Linked DNA regions of Arabidopsis thaliana. The protein of the gene in region 4 interacts with the protein of the main gene of each other region in a pairwise test. Each region holds a gene or a part of one and is shown on either strand. Other genes may lie near its edges.

What was found.
Region 1: the proteins of NDPK2 (region 4) and AT4G28830 interact in a two-hybrid assay, tested with the Arabidopsis thaliana proteins (one large-scale study listed by BioGRID).
Region 2: the proteins of NDPK2 (region 4) and EXO70H1 interact in a two-hybrid assay, tested with the Arabidopsis thaliana proteins (one large-scale study listed by BioGRID).
Region 3: the proteins of NDPK2 (region 4) and NRPB6B interact in a two-hybrid assay, tested with the Arabidopsis thaliana proteins (one large-scale study listed by BioGRID).

The regions. Positions count from the first base shown.
Region 1 is NC_003075.7:14,230,474-14,234,875, forward strand, and holds AT4G28830 (S-adenosyl-L-methionine-dependent methyltransferases superfamily protein), read left to right. Parts: upstream 1-1,966; 5' UTR 1,967-2,016; coding exon 2,017-2,076; intron 2,077-2,160; coding exon 2,161-2,217; intron 2,218-2,432; coding exon 2,433-2,530; intron 2,531-2,606; coding exon 2,607-2,676; intron 2,677-2,765; coding exon 2,766-2,814; intron 2,815-2,898; coding exon 2,899-2,987; intron 2,988-3,076; coding exon 3,077-3,124; intron 3,125-3,197; coding exon 3,198-3,257; intron 3,258-3,348; coding exon 3,349-3,444; 3' UTR 3,445-3,861; downstream 3,862-4,402. Other genes in the region: AT4G28820 (HIT-type Zinc finger family protein), read right to left, coding at 346-380, 478-528, 618-706, 818-910, 1,045-1,128, 1,235-1,285, 1,586-1,617, 1,732-1,814.
Region 2 is NC_003074.8:20,439,953-20,444,270, forward strand, and holds EXO70H1 (exocyst subunit exo70 family protein H1), read right to left. Parts: upstream 2,699-4,318; 5' UTR 2,614-2,698; coding exon 703-2,613; 3' UTR 539-702; downstream 1-538. Other genes in the region: AT3G55140 (Pectin lyase-like superfamily protein), read left to right, coding at 37-273.
Region 3 is NC_003071.7:1,618,249-1,622,397, forward strand, and holds NRPB6B (RNA polymerase Rpb6), read right to left. Parts: upstream 2,132-4,149; 5' UTR 1,999-2,131; coding exon 1,961-1,998; intron 1,674-1,960; coding exon 1,640-1,673; intron 1,560-1,639; coding exon 1,387-1,559; intron 1,301-1,386; coding exon 1,249-1,300; intron 1,149-1,248; coding exon 1,081-1,148; intron 990-1,080; coding exon 920-989; 3' UTR 543-919; downstream 1-542. Other genes in the region: AT2G04650 (ADP-glucose pyrophosphorylase family protein), read right to left, coding at 3,738-3,838, 3,910-4,021, 4,111-4,149. UniProt on the Arabidopsis thaliana protein: DNA-dependent RNA polymerase catalyzes the transcription of DNA into RNA using the four ribonucleoside triphosphates as substrates. Component of RNA polymerase II which synthesizes mRNA precursors and many functional non-coding RNAs.
Region 4 is NC_003076.8:25,371,358-25,375,659, forward strand, and holds NDPK2 (nucleoside diphosphate kinase 2), read right to left. Parts: upstream 2,548-4,302; 5' UTR 2,482-2,547; coding exon 2,242-2,481; intron 2,062-2,241; coding exon 2,005-2,061; intron 1,860-2,004; coding exon 1,773-1,859; intron 1,553-1,772; coding exon 1,472-1,552; intron 1,378-1,471; coding exon 1,265-1,377; intron 1,176-1,264; coding exon 1,126-1,175; intron 833-1,125; coding exon 765-832; 3' UTR 547-764; downstream 1-546. Other genes in the region: AT5G63300 (Ribosomal protein S21 family protein), read left to right, coding at 1-418; NPX1 (nuclear protein X1), read right to left, coding at 3,056-4,297. UniProt on the Arabidopsis thaliana protein: Major role in the synthesis of nucleoside triphosphates other than ATP. The ATP gamma phosphate is transferred to the NDP beta phosphate via a ping-pong mechanism, using a phosphorylated active-site intermediate. May activate MPK3 and MPK6.

The DNA.
Region 1 (4,402 bases), on a different chromosome or scaffold from region 4:
GGTCAAGGTTTGACAGACACATCTCTATTGTTTTGTTGTAGGTTGATGTTGTGGAATTAAAAAAAAAGGTTCAGTTCTATCTGCAAATCACAATTTTGAAGATGGTCCAGATGTGAAATTTTTGGTCTGTTTAAGGTTAAGATGGTCCAGTTTTTTTTTTGTTTTTTTCTCTGTTTCCGCAAATGTCAGAAGCTGGAATCTTGGGGGTCAGAGAAGAGATGGTTTGTGTAAACCAAAACGGCTCGTTTTTATAGCCAGTAAACATTTCTCTGAAACTTTTCTCAAACTATGTAACGAATACACTAAGCAAGAATACTACTGGAGTTTTGAAGCGACTACACTCACTGCTCGTCATTACTCTTCGAAATGTTTGATAAAATCTGGAAAAAAAAAAACAAAGTGGGAAACTTAGTGGAGGCCCTTTTGCTGGTCATGGATTGTTGCAAGTTCTTGAAATAAAAGCTTTTAAGACTGTACCTTGTCTGTGAATTCGCGGAATGCTTCTATTCCCATGGCTTCATCGAGTTCCTGATACATCCACAAATAGTTTCGTCAAAGGAGATCGATAACAACAACAAAAATATTGAATTACTGACGACGATGTAGATGAGCTTTACCTGTAAAGGGTTGGAAGAACTATCAATACTGTAGATGAGTTTCTGAAGAGGTTCATCCTTTAGAGCTTCGCGGATTTCACTAGAAGAAGCTGTAAAAAGTTCCCAGATTTAGAAATGGCCTACGAAGCTATAGATTCGTTCAGACGTTTGTTATCCAATAACTTGCTCGTCTATATATAATGTAGTTGGAAGAACATTACCGATAGCCTCGAACTGTGTCTTTTCTAAAATATACTTTTCTTCCTCTACAATTATCGGTCTTGCTACCGGAATTTCCTTCGCTGGAGATGCAGCTACAAAAAAACAGATTATGACTCAAACCCAAGTTCAAACAATTCTAGTCTAATGCCTAGCATCTCTGGCTACATCAGAGGTTTTGAAAATCAGCCCATGAATGTAAATAAGACTTAAGTTGGAAGAACCGTACCACTAGCCTTTTGCTGTGTCTTCTCTACAACATCATTAGCTTCCTCAGGTCTTTTCACCGGGACTTCCTTTGCTGGAGAAGCTGCTACAAAACCAGAGCATGACTCAAACCATGGTTCACACTGAACAACTTACACAAGTGAGCAAAGGAAAACTAATCAAGAAACAATGAAACCACAAAATGCACTAACCTGGCTTTTCTTCGGTTGAAGAAGGATCAGACGGTTTAGCACATGGAGTCTCTGCATTATTGATAAGATTACATACTTAGAACCACATCAACATAAACCTAAAGTAAAATCTTCATTGAAAACAAAACAGATACATAAAATACTCTTCCTCTATTGGTTATACAATCTGCAATGAAATTAGCAATTCAAAGGTCACGAGGTTTAAGCTAAGTAATAAAACTAGAGACACTCAACGAATTCAATTACAAAGTCCAAAACTTTAAGGTCTAACTCAGAAACTAACATCAATCAAGGAACTAATTCCAAATCCTAACTTTTTACGAATTTCATAAAGAGATCAAAAGAACTTACCTTTGTGTATCTTGAAACAACCCAATGAGCAGCTGCAGGCAAGCCACAGAAACCAAGTAAGAGACAATGACAAAGATGACTTAACAAGCCAATGATGAAACGAAAGAAAACCTATGTAAAAAGAGAGAGAGACGAAGAACACTTACTAAGGAACAAGACAAGAAGGACACTTGTATTTGGATACAACCTTCTCGCAGATTTCGCATGTTTGAGTAGCTCGAGGACACATCTCTCACTCTCTCACAACGAGCACAGCGATTCAGGGGAAGAGAAAAACCTCAATCAAGGAGGCAATGGGGTTTACACTTGCCTCTTCAGAAAGAAAGAAAGCCCAATGGGCCTGAAAGCTTTTTTATTTATGTCATTGATTTGTCACGGAGGCTTTTTGACTCTGCTTTTTGTGAATTCACTGTTGAGAAGCGCCGGAGAAGATGAAGCTGAAGCAATTAGAAGGCTTGTTGGGTGATCTTGAACAGTTCTCCAATCCTAAAGTATGTGAAAAATATTATAACTTTGAATACTAAAGATTGATTTCGTCGAACAAACTCTTTTGATTTTGATTTTTTGTGTGGCAGGTGGAATTCGAGCAATACCCAACTGGTCCTCACATTGCTTCTCGTATGCTTTTCACTGTAAAATCCGTCTTCCTCTGCTCTGAAGTTTATTACTTTTGTTAATATCATGCTTTCTGTGAAGTGGGTCTTCACTGTCTAATCTAGAATATATAACAGGCTAGTGATTTTCTCAGTGTGTGGATGTTAGATTTATGTAGTCTGAGTTGTTTTGTGATGCTTGGTTTTGTTCCTGCTGTCTTAGAAGAAGCCTTAAGTGTGTATCCTTTGTTTAGGCAGAGAATTCATATGGAGATATAACTGATAAGGTCGTTGCGGATTTTGGTTGTGGCTGTGGTACTTTAAGTGCTGCTGCTGCTCTTCTAGATGCTGCGTGAGTATAATCATCTTTGCCTCACTCTTCTATTCAATCTCTGTGGTTATCTAATCTCTTTATTGCTTCAGAACAGGTCTGTGATTGGATTCGATATCGACCCTGAATCTCTTGAAACAGCAACACTAAATGCAGAGGAACTTGAGGTTTTTTTGAAATTCTTCGTCTTTTATGTAAATGAGTTTTCTTTTGGTTGTATAGCAAATACCATTGCTATAATTGGTTTGTTTTGTAGGTCGAGATAGATTTCGTTCAGTGTGACATCACAAAGCTAGAGTTAAAAGGTACAATCCTCCTTTCATTTCAGTTCATTCAACGAAAAGAAGATTCTACCGGTAACATTTTTGTGGCTCCATGAATTGTTTTAGGCCTGATTGTGGATACGGTTGTAATGAACCCTCCATTTGGTACACGGAAGAAAGGAGCTGACATGGAGTTTCTCTCTGCGGCAATGAAGGTAAACAACAGAAAAGAATATCTCTTTTTACTGTTTTCTAATTTCGTATCACTCGGTTACATGTTTACATTCGATGTTTGGCTACGCAGGTCGCCTCAAAGGCAGTTTATTCCTTGCATAAGACATCTACCAGAGAAGTAAGCAAAGCGCCTTCCTTACAATATCTACTTACTATGTATTTTGTTAGTAACAACCTTAACATTCTTGCAGCACATTAAAAGGGCGGCTTTGCGTGATTTCAATGCGAAAAGTGCTGAAGTTATATGTGAGGTTGGGCTAAAAGATTTGAAAATTATTATATCAAAAGTCTGATGTGAATGTGTCTAAACATTCTAACTTATTCATATTGTTCCCCTTGCAGCTCCGATATGACTTGCCAAAACTCTACAAGTTCCACAAGCGAAAAGAAGTTGATATTGCCGTTGATCTCTGGCGTTTTGAGCCTAGACAGAACTAGACCGCCACGATCATGTAATGTTTAGCTTTGAGATAAGATTGATTATGTATGGAAGGATTCATGGTATGAACTCAAGTTTTACAAATCAACCTCTTCTTCATAGACAAATTTACAGCTTTTCATTGAAAATAGGTGGCAGCTTGGCTACACTGTGCTCTATCAAAACATATTGCAGATGCGTATAGACATTTCAAGTCTGAGACCAGCACCAACCGGTTTAAGTCTTTGTTTCACCTGAGACAGTTGAGCTTAATACAAAATTGTATCATACAATCCTAAGCAGTGAGACTTTAGTGATCTCTCAGATGATCCAACCATGTTGTACTTTCAAGACACTGAAAAGAGTTGTCACAAAATTTCTAAATAAGAAAATATGAACAAGTCCTAAAATTTGGTATTACATACATTGTGGAAAAAACCACAGAAAAATATGAAATAATAGAAGGAACAGCATGGATGCCAACTGAATAGATAAATAAAAAGAAATCAGCCAATGGATCAAATCTGTACTATCTAAAAGATTGTTACAAGTAATCATTCAGAAAAGAGAGAAGAAAAAGTTGGAAAGGTATTACTACACTATTATTTAATTTGTATGGTTGATGGTGAAGGAAGGAAGCTTCATCGAACAAATACTCCTTAATTTATATGCTTAGAGCTAATAAAGATTCAGCATCAAACGATTCTCAATGATTTAATTATATCTTCTCCCACGTGGGACGAACATTTCGTACCCTTATCGACTACATTACTCATTTTAATATTACGTTAAACAAAAACTAACCGAAACTCTTACTTTGGCAATTATATTGCTTATGAGTCAACTAATATTACTAGATGGATTTCTCGTATTAGCTAAATAGTAGATTTTGTTGGAAATGAATCACCAAATGTCAATAATTGTAATTTTGATAATATACTTTTATTTGGTTGAATTATACGACTTTTGTCCCCCCCC
Region 2 (4,318 bases), on a different chromosome or scaffold from region 4:
ATCCACCACCATCATCTTGTGTGAGTTTGTTTGTAGGCTGCTGACAAGGAAGAAGCGAGAACTGGGTTAGTACGATCTGAAAATGACTTGTTCTTGAATGGAGCTCAACCTTCCTTGATGACAGGAGCCAGTGAAGAATGTGTATTCCATCCAAGTGAACACTACCCAACATGGACTGTGGAGCCACCATCAGAAACTCTCAAGCAAATCATGCAAATTTGTACCGGTTGGCAATCTTTGTCCCGTCCTTCTGATCATGGAGTTCCTAAGTAATAGTTGCGATTCAAATGTTTTCTTGCATATCATATTTCCTTCTTTTTCTAGTTATTGAAGGAGTGAATAATGCTTTTGTTCTTCAGCACATTATGTTTACAGTATGCTGTGTGTGATTTTTTATGCCTTTTTCTTCTTTGTGATTTGTAATTGGCTTCTTGAATGTATATCACTGAATCGAATTCTTTATCAGATTTATATCAGCTTCGGTTATTAGAGACTACTCGTTTTATTCTTAAAGCGTATCGCAAGTTTGTTTTTTCTTAGATAATGAAGAACTCGTCATAAATTATGTAAAGAAAATCTCATTTTTTTTTTTTTGTTCTCATTTTCTGTTGCACACACAATGCAAACACACGTATCTACATTTTTTTCACTTCACATCATGTAAAAAATGGAATATTTAGCCAAAACTATGGATCAAGTCTCTCAGCCTGAAACACACCCAAGTGATTTCCAGGATGAAGAGGAAGAAGATGAAGAAAAAGAAGAGGATGCATGAATTGGTGTACCGTGGAAAAGATCAGAGATGTAATTCTCCAAATTATCTGGCTTGAATCTCACCAAGATCTCAATGTTTCTCTCCTGGCCGAGCATTGGTAAGTACTTCCTGTAAAACTCTCTGTATTCTGGTACAAGTTTCTTTGCTATTGAAACCTTTAGTTCGTCCCTAAGTTTCGCATTTGGTACAACTCGTGATGATTGTTTCATATATGCTTCCTCAAATGCCGTGTGAAATCTTCTGAAATATATTTTAGCTTCCTCTGGTGATAGGTCTGTGGGTTCTTCTGGTAAAGACATGAAAACATTGGACCATGCTGCTATCTCATAATTCCCAGCATAAGCGCAGAGTTTATCTTCGTGCTTATTGAGCCAATCATCTCCAAGGAGATTCCTTAGGGGAGTTGAACCAACCGTTTCAATGATGATCTGAAGGTTGTTTGCAAGGAAAAGGTAAGACAAAGAAACATCCTTGTAATGCTCTGCTTTGGTGTCTAGTTTGCATAGCAAAACCAGGATTAGCCAAGCAAAATGGACAGAGAGTGCGTGATTGTGTTGTTCATCTTCCGAAATTGGAGCTCTGACATAGGATTCCAGCAGGCGAGTGTTTCTCGGGAGTGGATGGTCTGCTAGGATTTCCGACAAGACTCCGCTGTACTTAGAAAGGGAAGAGATGAAGTTCATTGTTGATCGTGTCAGTTTATGAATCCCTCCTCCAGGTGTTAGAGCTTTCGTCGTATCTTTCTGAATGATTGATTCAAAATCCGTGAGAGCACTGTGGATTGAGACCTTTAGTTTTTGCAGCGATGTGAGCGCCTGAGATTTCACACCAGCTACTGCATCAAAGTGGAATATCATCTCTATGTCTTGCCAGAGATCAGAGATTGCAGCCTGCAGATCCATTAGCGGGAAGATCCTCTCGTGCGATTTCTTCTCCTTGGCAACAAATTCAGGGAACTTGAAAAGGTTAGTGGCTGCTTCGTTTGCAATCTCGTAGAAGCATGACTCCCTTGTTGAATTGGAAGCAGAAAAGACATGATCACAAAGAAGTTTCTCTCCACGGAAGAGCGTGGCAATGCCAATCTTTGCAGCTTTTATCCAGTTCTTGATCATATGCTCGAGCGTGACCCAGTCCGTTCTGTGAAATCTGGAGCCTTTGTAGATTTCAATCCCGAGCAAGCTCAGCCCTTCATCTACAATAGATTTTCTGACCCGCTTATAAATCTTTACGCACTCCTTACCATATCCGCAACTTATCATACTCTCTGCTATCGCCTTAAGGTCAGACATCACCATAGCTGAAGCTTTCTCAACCTGAGTGATCGATTCGCCAGCTTTCCTCATCTCATTGTCACTTTCATCGTCGTCGTCAGATCCCATAACATCTTCAAATTCAGAATTGCTGGAGATTGAGGATTGACCGGAAACTGATTCAGGATCAAGCTTGTCTCTGTTTGAAGATAATATCTGGAAGAACTCTTTTTCGAGCCTTGCCATGGCGATCTGCATCAGGGTCTGAGCTAGAGCAAGCTTTGGAGATTGAGAGTCTTGAGAGACAAGAAAGTGCATCGCTCTGCGCAAATCACGGACACATCTGATGAACTCTTTAGCCTCCTTCCTGCTATGGTTGAACAGAGAGACAATCTTGGTGAAGGAAGGCGTGTTCGGGTCCCATTTTCTGATGACGGAGTCCGCTGTCTCCACGGTTTCCTCCATCATAGCCTGAGTAAAGTTCTGGTTTAGAGGAGAAGCCGGGAAAGAAGTGAATGAAGAAGGCGAAGAAGGATGATATTTAGGAGATGACGAAGAGAAGAAAGAAAATTTCGCCATTTTCGCCATTGAAGAAGAAGAAGCTCTCTATTCTCTTCTTTCTGAATTGAAAGCGAAGCCTTTTAAAATGGTGTTACTTGGCTTTTACTCTTTCTATTTTAATTAGAAAGATGGTTTTTAACAATTATATAGAGAGCGAGATTGGTCTTGACTTTGAAAATGAAATCGATGACGATGTGCTTACCTGTGATTATAGACCCAGACCACAAAGAACCATTGACTTCGATGTATAATATAAGCCTTATATACTTAAAAGATAACTAGAGTACAAATTTTATATACATATGGGCGACAAAGTTTTTGCTATCCACGTCTAGAACTAGAATTATATGACTATTTCATTCTGTCAACTTATAATTTTATATAACAGTTAAATTCATCAATTTCATTTCATTTGACTTTTTATTGCATCATTCGCATTATTGATCACTAATTATACTTCTTGTTCGAATTTCGTATTGGAAGTTTTTTGACCAAAGAAAAAAAAGAAGACTAATAGAGTTTCACTAGAAAAGTCCGAAATTTATATATTTAGCGTTCTCTTATATAAACGCGTTTCTACATTTCAATTCTTGTGTGTCTGTCAACGTCTGCATTTCAGTTAATAAGTTATAGTTATCACAGTAATTAACGTTTTGAATCAATACTATGATACAATAAGTTGTTAACGCTGTCCTTGCAAACTAACAGCTATACGTTTATTGTAATAGTTAAGAGAAAAGTGTTACAAAATATTTAAGTTGATTTTACAGCCTAATGTTATATTAGCACTGTTGATGTGTCATAATCTGATAGTATATGTTTGTGCTTATAGAGGATAGAAAAACAAATCACAAATTATGTATTATATAAAACTAATATTCTTTCGTCTGACCAAAAAGATGATCATAAAAGATACGTACTATACTTCATGATCTTGTCTAGAAGAAAATAAAACCTATATTCCAAGTTTTCCCATACATTAGATATCATATACACAGACACAAGACATTCGCATGTTATGTATGTATGGTTTTGCAAGAAAAAGTCAAATATACGCACTCATAAATCATGATATAAAGATATACGAACCGGAGGTATTGGCAATTTCCAGGCGTTACAGATTCTTAAAAGACCAAAATGGAGATTCGCTTACCAAAGTCAACTACATTTACATATACATTTCAACTAATTTGGCTTCAACGTCGTATATACGTGAGTTGTCTAAATCATTATAAGAGCATATAAGCTAGTCAACGTTTTGTTTCGACGACTCTCTTTCTTTAAACAATGGCTAGTGTTACTTCACGTATTCGGTTACATTGCTAACGAACCTTAAAGAATTTAGTTATTGTAGCTGTCTTTTTTCCTTAAAAGTGGAATCTTCTTCAATCAACAAAGCAATGACTATTGATCAATGCCATCATTTGATTACAACTCACAGTTTTTGTTTTGACAATTATCTTGTTATATACATATGAGAGAAAATGAACTATAGTAGTGTTTAGTTCGTTTCAGATTGAGATTGATTATGTTTATGTTATTTGTTTTTTTCCCAAACTTTACTAAGGAAGATTGTAAGCTTGGGGGAGCCCTAACGAATCAGAAATGAATGATATCGTAAGTGCGAAAACAATTTGAAGACTGGACTGTGAAGCGGTCAACTCTCAGGCGTAGATCATCGGAGTAAAGACAATGCCAATGCAAAAGTCAAAAGTTTATAAAGTATCTTTGA
Region 3 (4,149 bases), on a different chromosome or scaffold from region 4:
TAGATGCATTATTTTGTACGTTGTGTATCCCAAGGTCTATTTAACAGTTATTTGCTTTGAGTTTAATGCATTATTCTTCTCTAATCCCTGCATTTTTTTTTTTTTTTTTTTTGGAAAATGGTAAATTAGATTCAAAAAAGATAACGTCGTTACAATTAGTGTATCATATGTTCTATATGAAATAGATTGAAATCAGAAATTAGAATGAACAATTTAGTGATTAACTTCAACTTTGAAGCCAGCGTTGGAAACGCATTTGCTTGTCGATCCATTGTATTAGAGTGGCTGCAGATTTTGGAGATTCATCATGACGTCTTCGATTCCTCTCATGCCAGATGGTGTAAACGGTGGTTTGAAAGATGTATTTCATCAAGAAACATGCTACACTATCCTTGCGTTGGGCCGAGACTATGGTGAGTAGTTGAGTCCAGTCACTTGTATAGTGTTGCTGAAACAATCCTCGAGCAAGCGCTTCACATAGTTTTTAACATTACTATTTCTCAACTTCTTTAAACAACATGCATAATTCTTCTCTAATCTTGCTTTTTGATTTTTAGCATCACTCATTTATGCATCAATCGATCTGACTCTGTGAGACGACAAAAGCTGGGAAGTGTGAGAGAAAAGGTTTATCAATTGAGTTGTACTTACTCAATACTCAAACTATTATAGATGTTTTCTTCTTTTGGTTTCACGAAGGATTTTCTTTCTTTGTATATGTACATGCAGGCTTGTCGAAACCCATGTCCAAAAACAACTTGGGACAAAAAATTTGTTGTTCATGCATTTTTGTTGGAGTCCCTGACTCTTGTAGTGTTGGAGAATAGGACAAATGAAGAAGTTCTACATGCGACTATATCGTAAGTTCATAATCCATACAAGAGCAGAAAGCTTTGCAAAACACATAGGCCAGATTTTATCAATCACCACCGACTTGACGTTTCCACGAGTCTTCGACGATCAGTTCATCAACTCCCCATTCCTCGTAACTGATTCAGAGTCATAAGTAAGTCGCAAGAAAAGAAGATATCAAATTTGAAAGAAGAGCTAAAAGTATTGATATAACTAATGCAATCTCACCTCATATCAGGTAGATAACGTCTAATGGTAAATGGAATCTTCCTTTGCCTAAGCTCTTTCATCGCAATCTTAAGCCAAATCATACAATAAACAACACAAATGTTCATATACATATCAACATTTACTGACAAATCATGAAAAACACAACAAGAAGGAAGAAGGCAACACCTCAAGTGGATCAGTCTCACCCTCCAACTCAACCATAACAGGAGCATTCATGCTGTATCAGCCAACAACAGTACATAGAATCAAACTTTCCGAGCCAACTAAACGGTTAATCAACAAAGATTGTTCTCAGTAGCTGACCTAATCTGCAAAGCACGAGTGCCGAGGATACGTGCACGTTCATACTTAGTCATAAACTTAGAGGTTTTACGTGGGCGTTGCACAGGTTCTGTTTCAACCTTATCTTCTGTTTCCAAAGGGTCAACATTAACATCATCGTTCTCCTTGATATCAGCATCTTCCTCTACTCCTTCCTACTCACACCAACACATTCTAATCAGCCTAGTAATAATAATAAGCAATGTCAATCTCTCTTCTACAAATAATAACTTACTTCGATCTCAGGCTCTGCTGGCTCATCTTCATATCTGCAATTGAAAATCACCACATAACATCAACAATTTGAAATCCGATGTATAAGATTCAAACGAAATTAGGGTTTTCTATCTAAACAATATGAAATTATAATCAATGCTACGATGCCAGAACAATAAGCAAATTTTCAAAAAAGAATCTCGTTGATAGACTCTCAAACTAGACAATAATTGATCCAATTGTTCTCAATCGTTTACGATTCGTCGGGAAGAAGAAGATAGAATCAACTGAAATCGAGTACAAATGATACTAACATAGGAAACAGAGAGGGAGAGATTACCCCAAGTCATCGACTTCATTGTAATCGTCGTCAGCCATTAAAGTCGATTTGAGAAATCGCTCTCCTTGCTCTCTCGATAAAACCCTAACGATCGATGCAACTTAACCGAATGACGGAGAATGCGTAAAGAAGACTCTCTATGAAGTTCGGTTTTTAATTGCCGGTTTTCTTAATGAACCGTCTATTCAGACCGGTTTTAATTTCAAACCCCATTTAAGCCCACATGTATTTTTTTTTTTTCCCCTAACATAGCCCTGGGCATGTGGTATTCGGGTCAGGGTCGGGTCGGATTTTTCGGGTTCGAATTTTTGGGTTTAGAAATTTTGGATCCGTATGGTTATATCAACAATTTCGGGTCGGGTTCGGTTCGGCTTCACTTCGGGTCCGATAATTCAGGTATTAGTTAAAAAAACCATAAGTAACCAAAACTATTTCGGGTTTGAGTACTACTTACCCAAACTTTGTCCAAATATACCCAAACATACATAAAAATATCCATAAAACCCGAAAGATCTGAAATTATAACAAGTTTTTCCTTAAGCCAATAATATAAAACAAGAAGTAAACCTTGTTTTAAGCTTGTTCCATAACTCAAATCATTAAACAAGTCACATTATTAGTGTATATATATCCTCATATGTATATATAGGGCTGGGCAAAAAACGGGACCCGATATCGAACCTGATACCCGAACCGAAAAATCGGGTTGGGGTGGGTTAGGGTTTTAAGAAATTACTTCATTGGGTAAAGTTTTAGTAAACCCGTGGGTATCAGGTCGGTCCGGGGTTTATCCGTTACCCAAACAGGATACCCGAACATAGATTTAATATCAAAAATATTAATTATATTTAATCTTAATATAATGTAATAATCTAAAATTATAATTATAAATCTAAATATATCAATTACTTTTAGATCTAAATACCCAACTATTTAAAAATTATTTGTTATGTTTGTCAAAATTTAGTATAATATATCTAAATCTAATTAAATTATTAAAATTTGTTAATATTTAAGGTTTTTTTTTTGTTGGGTACCCGCTATCTACACATAAAATACCCGTTTTCATTTGTTTGGCTATTCTTAGGGCCTGAAATTCTTTACCCAAGCCGACCCGAACCCGAATGTACCCGAACTAGACCGAAATCGAAAATTTTCATTTTACCCTATTGGGTAGTAAATCCATTACCCATTTAACCCGAACCCGAACGGGTTTTACCCGAATCCGAACGGGTTACCCATATGCGCAGCCCTATGTATATATATGTTCGGGTAATAAAAAGTACCCACGGGTATCGGGTTCAGTTCGGGTAATTTCCGGTACCCACGGTTATTTGAAAACAGAACCCGATCAAGTAATTAGCCGGAACCGAAGTAGAACGGGTTTGGTTATTTCGAGTCAAGTTCAGTTCGGTTCTTCGGGTTCCGGTATTATGTCCGGGCCTACCCCCACAAACGAAGTCAAGATAAACAATTTTTCTAGTGAGCAATTTGCACAAAAGAAAGGAGCCTAAGGAGGTATTGAACACTAGTGATTACACAATCAAGAAGCAAAACTTCTTTGATTCCTTGTTATCTTAGATCTTTTAAAACTCTTTCTTCTAAAATCTTTTTAGTATCTAAACACAAAGTACAGTGAGAGTTTACAAATCTTCCATAGTTTCACTTACTCAAAATCTAATCCTGTGAACTCAATTCATGTAATACACAATTCTGTAAAAGTTTCTCTGTTTCAATTAAAAAGAAAAAAAATCCAAACGATAATCATTGTGATAAATCACAAGATGATATCATCTTGAACACTAACATTAAGAGTCTTATTCTGGAGAACAATGCTTCCTATGACTGCTACTTCATCTTCCACAGTTACAGCCTCACCTGCAGAAACAAATTAATCAGAAAAAATATAACGAAAAATTTGTTGAACAAAAAGAAAACAATGAAGTTACCAAGAATGGTAATCCCAAGCCTGTCATTGTAATCTCCACTAGCTTGAACTCTTGACCATCTACCTATAGAAGATTTCCATCCGATAATTGAGTTTATAACAACAGCATTCTCCTGCATTTAACAAGAGTAGAGAACATTAAACAACGAATCTTTTGGATTCATAACAAGAAGAACATTCTAAAACACTGATTCCAAATTACCTTGATTTCAACATCGTCTAAGATTATGCAGCTAATAAG
Region 4 (4,302 bases):
CTACAACGTCGAGGTGGTGCCTAAAGACGGCGAATCGGAGGAGCAGCTGGTTAACGATTTCAAGAGGTCGTGTTTCAGAGCGGGTGTGTTGCAGGAATCTCGAAGACGACGCTTCTTCGAGAGCTCTCTGGAGAAGAAGACGCGGAAGACCAAAGAAGCTGCGAAGAAGTATCGGAAAAGGTCAGATTTTTTTTTCACTTTTTCTTCTTTCTTTCGAAAAACACTTGGAGAAGTTGAGTCAATAGATTTTGATTTTACAGGAGACCAAACCCTAAACCAAAACCACTATCAACTTCAGAGATCCGCAAGCACAACAGAAATGCATCCAGAGAAGACGAACAAGACGATCACTGGGAACTTCCTCCTGAGGACATTGAGATTCCATATACCAACCGGTCTTAGAAGTAAACCGGAATGATATTCCGGTACACTGATCTGAGCAATCTTAATCACGCAGCATCTGCGTTTTGTAAAGCCACTCTTTTGTATGTTCTTTTAGCTTGAGATTAGAAAATTTTCATTGCTCGGTGTAGAGTGAAGATGAATGATTTTGGAGGTGTCTGTAACGTAGAACCAAATGCAGATGAATCTGTAACTAGTTTTGATTACATGACAAGTGATCACAGATATGAGAAGAATCAAGCCATAGATTGGCAGTTATATTATATTGCCGCCCAAAATCAGGAACAAAACACCAAAGCTCATCATCGGTAACAAGAAAACAAGTAAGGACACCATTATAATTGACTCTGTCTTCTCAAGGATCACTCCCTTAGCCATGTAGCTAGAGCCGAATCCCACTTGCATAGCTCGCCCTCTTTGAACCACAGACCTATGCCACAACCACAAGAGCCAAAATGTCAGCAAATGAAAACTAAAAGTTTAGCATACTAAGGAATGAGAGTGATTGGTCAAACTAAGTAAATGAAGAAGTGATAGTAATGGTTTAAAACAGATATATTGAACCTAACAATTTCAGTAATCAAGTATGATCTAATCTAGTTATGTTATCAAGTTAATTTGAAGCAGTTTGAACCACGTTGATTTGCCCCTAAACTGGACATAGTCAATGTCTCAACAATGAAAGATGGGTGAATGATTTGAACAAAAAACAAGAAATCTCACCAATCTCACGCTTGCCGTTTTCAGGGCTGTCACTACCATGCACAATGTTCCTGCAAATTGCATAATTTAAAAATATCAAACCATGAGAATTATTTTAAGTGCTTACTTCCAACAATTTTAAAGATGATAGAAGTCCAACCTTCCGGTTTGCACAGCAAGATCTCCTCTTATAGTACCAGGTTCAGCTTGAAGCGGATCTGTTTTCCCTATTAGCTTCCTGGCTGAAGCAACAACACCAACACCTTCCCAAGCCTTTACCAGGTTTAAAACATCACATGCAATTAACTCATCTAATTACAACTTGAAAACAAGTAAAAATCAAATTAGAGCATAGTTATACCCATACCATACACACAACTGGACCTGAAGTGATGTACTCAATCAGGTTAGGAAAGAATGATTTAGCACTAAGATCCTTATAATGCTCCTGGCAATTGAGATAAACACACAAGAATATTAATTATGTCAATCGAATATGAAAAAAAAATGAGGCAGCGTCATCTTACGCAAATGTAGCGAATAAGTGAAATATGCAAGTCATGATCAGGCTTCAATTTCTCGATACTTGTCAATGATTTATTAGTTATATCACATTAAGAAGCAATCTAAAGTTATCAAACTACTGATGTAATGAGTGAGTGTCAAACCTCAGCCAATTCTTTTGGGCACTGAAACATCTTGAGCCCAATAAGTTTAAACCCCTTTTTCTCAAAGCGAGAAATGATTTCTCCTACCTAAGAACATCAAATGAATCATACATTCATAATTTAAGCCAAGATAGTGTAATGAAATAACATTCAAAGCTCCATAGAGTTCCAAGATACATAATTTAACCTCAAAATCAGAAGAAGAAAAAAAATGAAAAGCAAAAACGCTTACAAGGCCTCGTTGTATGCCATCAGGTTTCACCATAATGTAAGTCTCCTCAACGTCCTCCTGAAACAATACAGAAAACAACGTAAGAACAATCAAAAGGTCACTAAATTGCATTGAGATTCATCAAATTAGAATATATCCAAACTAATTTGAATCCTAAATTCCTGATTTCGGAGTTTAATCAATGTAAGTACTAAGAAAACAAAGTAATTCGCATAAATGGAGGGGAAGCACACAAACCATAGAAGCTACAAGGTGAGGAAGGAAGATTCCCGATTCGGCGGAGCTGGAAGCGCGAAGACGGCGGCGAGACGCGGAATTGCGAGAGAAAAGACGGAACTGAGGACGAAATGCGGCCAACGCTGTTCTAAAATTAACCCTGGCTGGAGAACAGTGTGGATTGAGACTTGCCGAGTTTCTCTCCGGCGGCGAAGCCACACATAGGGGAGTCCATTTACTAACTACAGTCGCTCCCACCATTTTCTGCGCTTTGTCTTAGCTTCTCTCAGTGTCTTCGCATCATCATCTTATAAGAACAAAGTTAATTGACATAAATACCCTTTATCCAGAAGCGAAGATAATTTGGGTTTAGTTGATCAATCAAAAAGTATCAGTGCTCAGAAGTAATTTAAAAAGTGATCTCGAGTACAAAGAGTGTCTCGTTTAAATGGAGGAAACAGACTCTTTCTCTTTCCCTGTACAGTTTACTCTTCTAAAAGATTAAAAAAAACAAAAGTCTGCACATTTCAACAGTCGCACAATTTGCTGCTTTAATACCAAACCAAACCATCTTTCTTGTAGCAAAATTGTTTTTTTCTTTTTCTTTTTTCGTCGATTTAGAATCATTGTCAACAGAGTCACGTTGAAAAATAGGCAATACAGACTCATCGTCTTGTCTTCTAGATGTATCTGGCTTTGCCTTTCTTTTGCTTGCTTTAGCCATTTCACGCCACATCAAATTTACATTTTGTGCATAGAAGAATCAATGCGTAAACATCCCCAACTTTTTCTTTTCATCTTGTTGCTTTTAACAAGACCCGGAAAAAAGACTTCATCAATCAATTTCTACATCTATATCTTCCTCTCCCTGGTCAACAAGGTCAGTTTTTTGCCCTGCCTTGTCCACAACTTCGGTTTCTACCTTTCCATTGCCATCAACTACAGTTTCGTTTCCTCCCTTGTCCGAAACTTCAGTTCCTTGCACTCCCTCACCATTGTCAACAGCTTCATTTTCTTCTACCCCCTTTTCGACAACTTCGCTTTTTTGCTCTCCCAAGTCGACAACTCCAGTTTCTTGTTCTTCTTTTTCAGTAACTCTACTTTCTTGCTCTGGCACATTCGCCAATTGTTCTTCTCCTTCAATTTTATTGATGGATTTTTCATCTTCTTGGTTCCCATTATCTTGTGTCTTTTGGCTTACCAGTTCTTCGTTTCCACAATCGAGTTGGTTCTCTCCCTCTTCTCTGTGAGGACTAAGTGTTTGTCCTTCACTTTTGTCAAGGGAAAGTTCTTTTCCTACTCCGACAACTTCAGTTTCTTGCTCTCCTGTATCATCATCTCTACTACTTTCTTGCTCTAGCACATTCTCCAATTGTTCTTCTCTCTCGCTTTGATTGATTTTTTCATCTCTTTGGTTCTCATAATCTTGTGCCTTTTCGCTTACCGATTCTTCATTACCGCTAGCACGTGGGTCCTCTCTCTCTTTTCTGTGAGGACTGAGTGTACGCCCTTCACTTCGGTCAAGGGGATGTACTTCTTCCACTCCCATATCAACAACTTCATTTTCTTGCTTTCTCATATCGACAACTTCAGTTTCTTGCTCTTCCTTGTCACCAACTCCACTTTCTTGCTCTGGCATATTCTCCAGTTGTCGTTCTATTTCATTTGGGTTTATGGGTTTTCCATCTTCTTGGTCCCCATTATCATGTGCCTCTTGGCTCACCGGCTCTTCATTTCCGCTAACGAGTTGATCCTCTCCTTCTACTCTGTGAGGACTATGTTCCTGTTTTTCACTTCTGTCAAAGGGATTGTCTTCTACTTTTCTCTGGCTAAAGTGTGGCGGGTCTTCTTCTTCATCCTCATCCTCATCCATTTTCATATACAGACCTAGATGTTCTAATGGATTACTGTTGCTTTCCATCTTGAAACTACCCAAACCCAACATATCCTCACTAAACTTGGGACTCATCACTTCCATGGAAGTCGGTAATTGATCACCTTCTGTACCTGTAGCTCTAAGCATCTGGAGGTCTTCCATAAACCGTATGCCCTCGTTTATCTCCACTGTCTTTTCCATCTGCA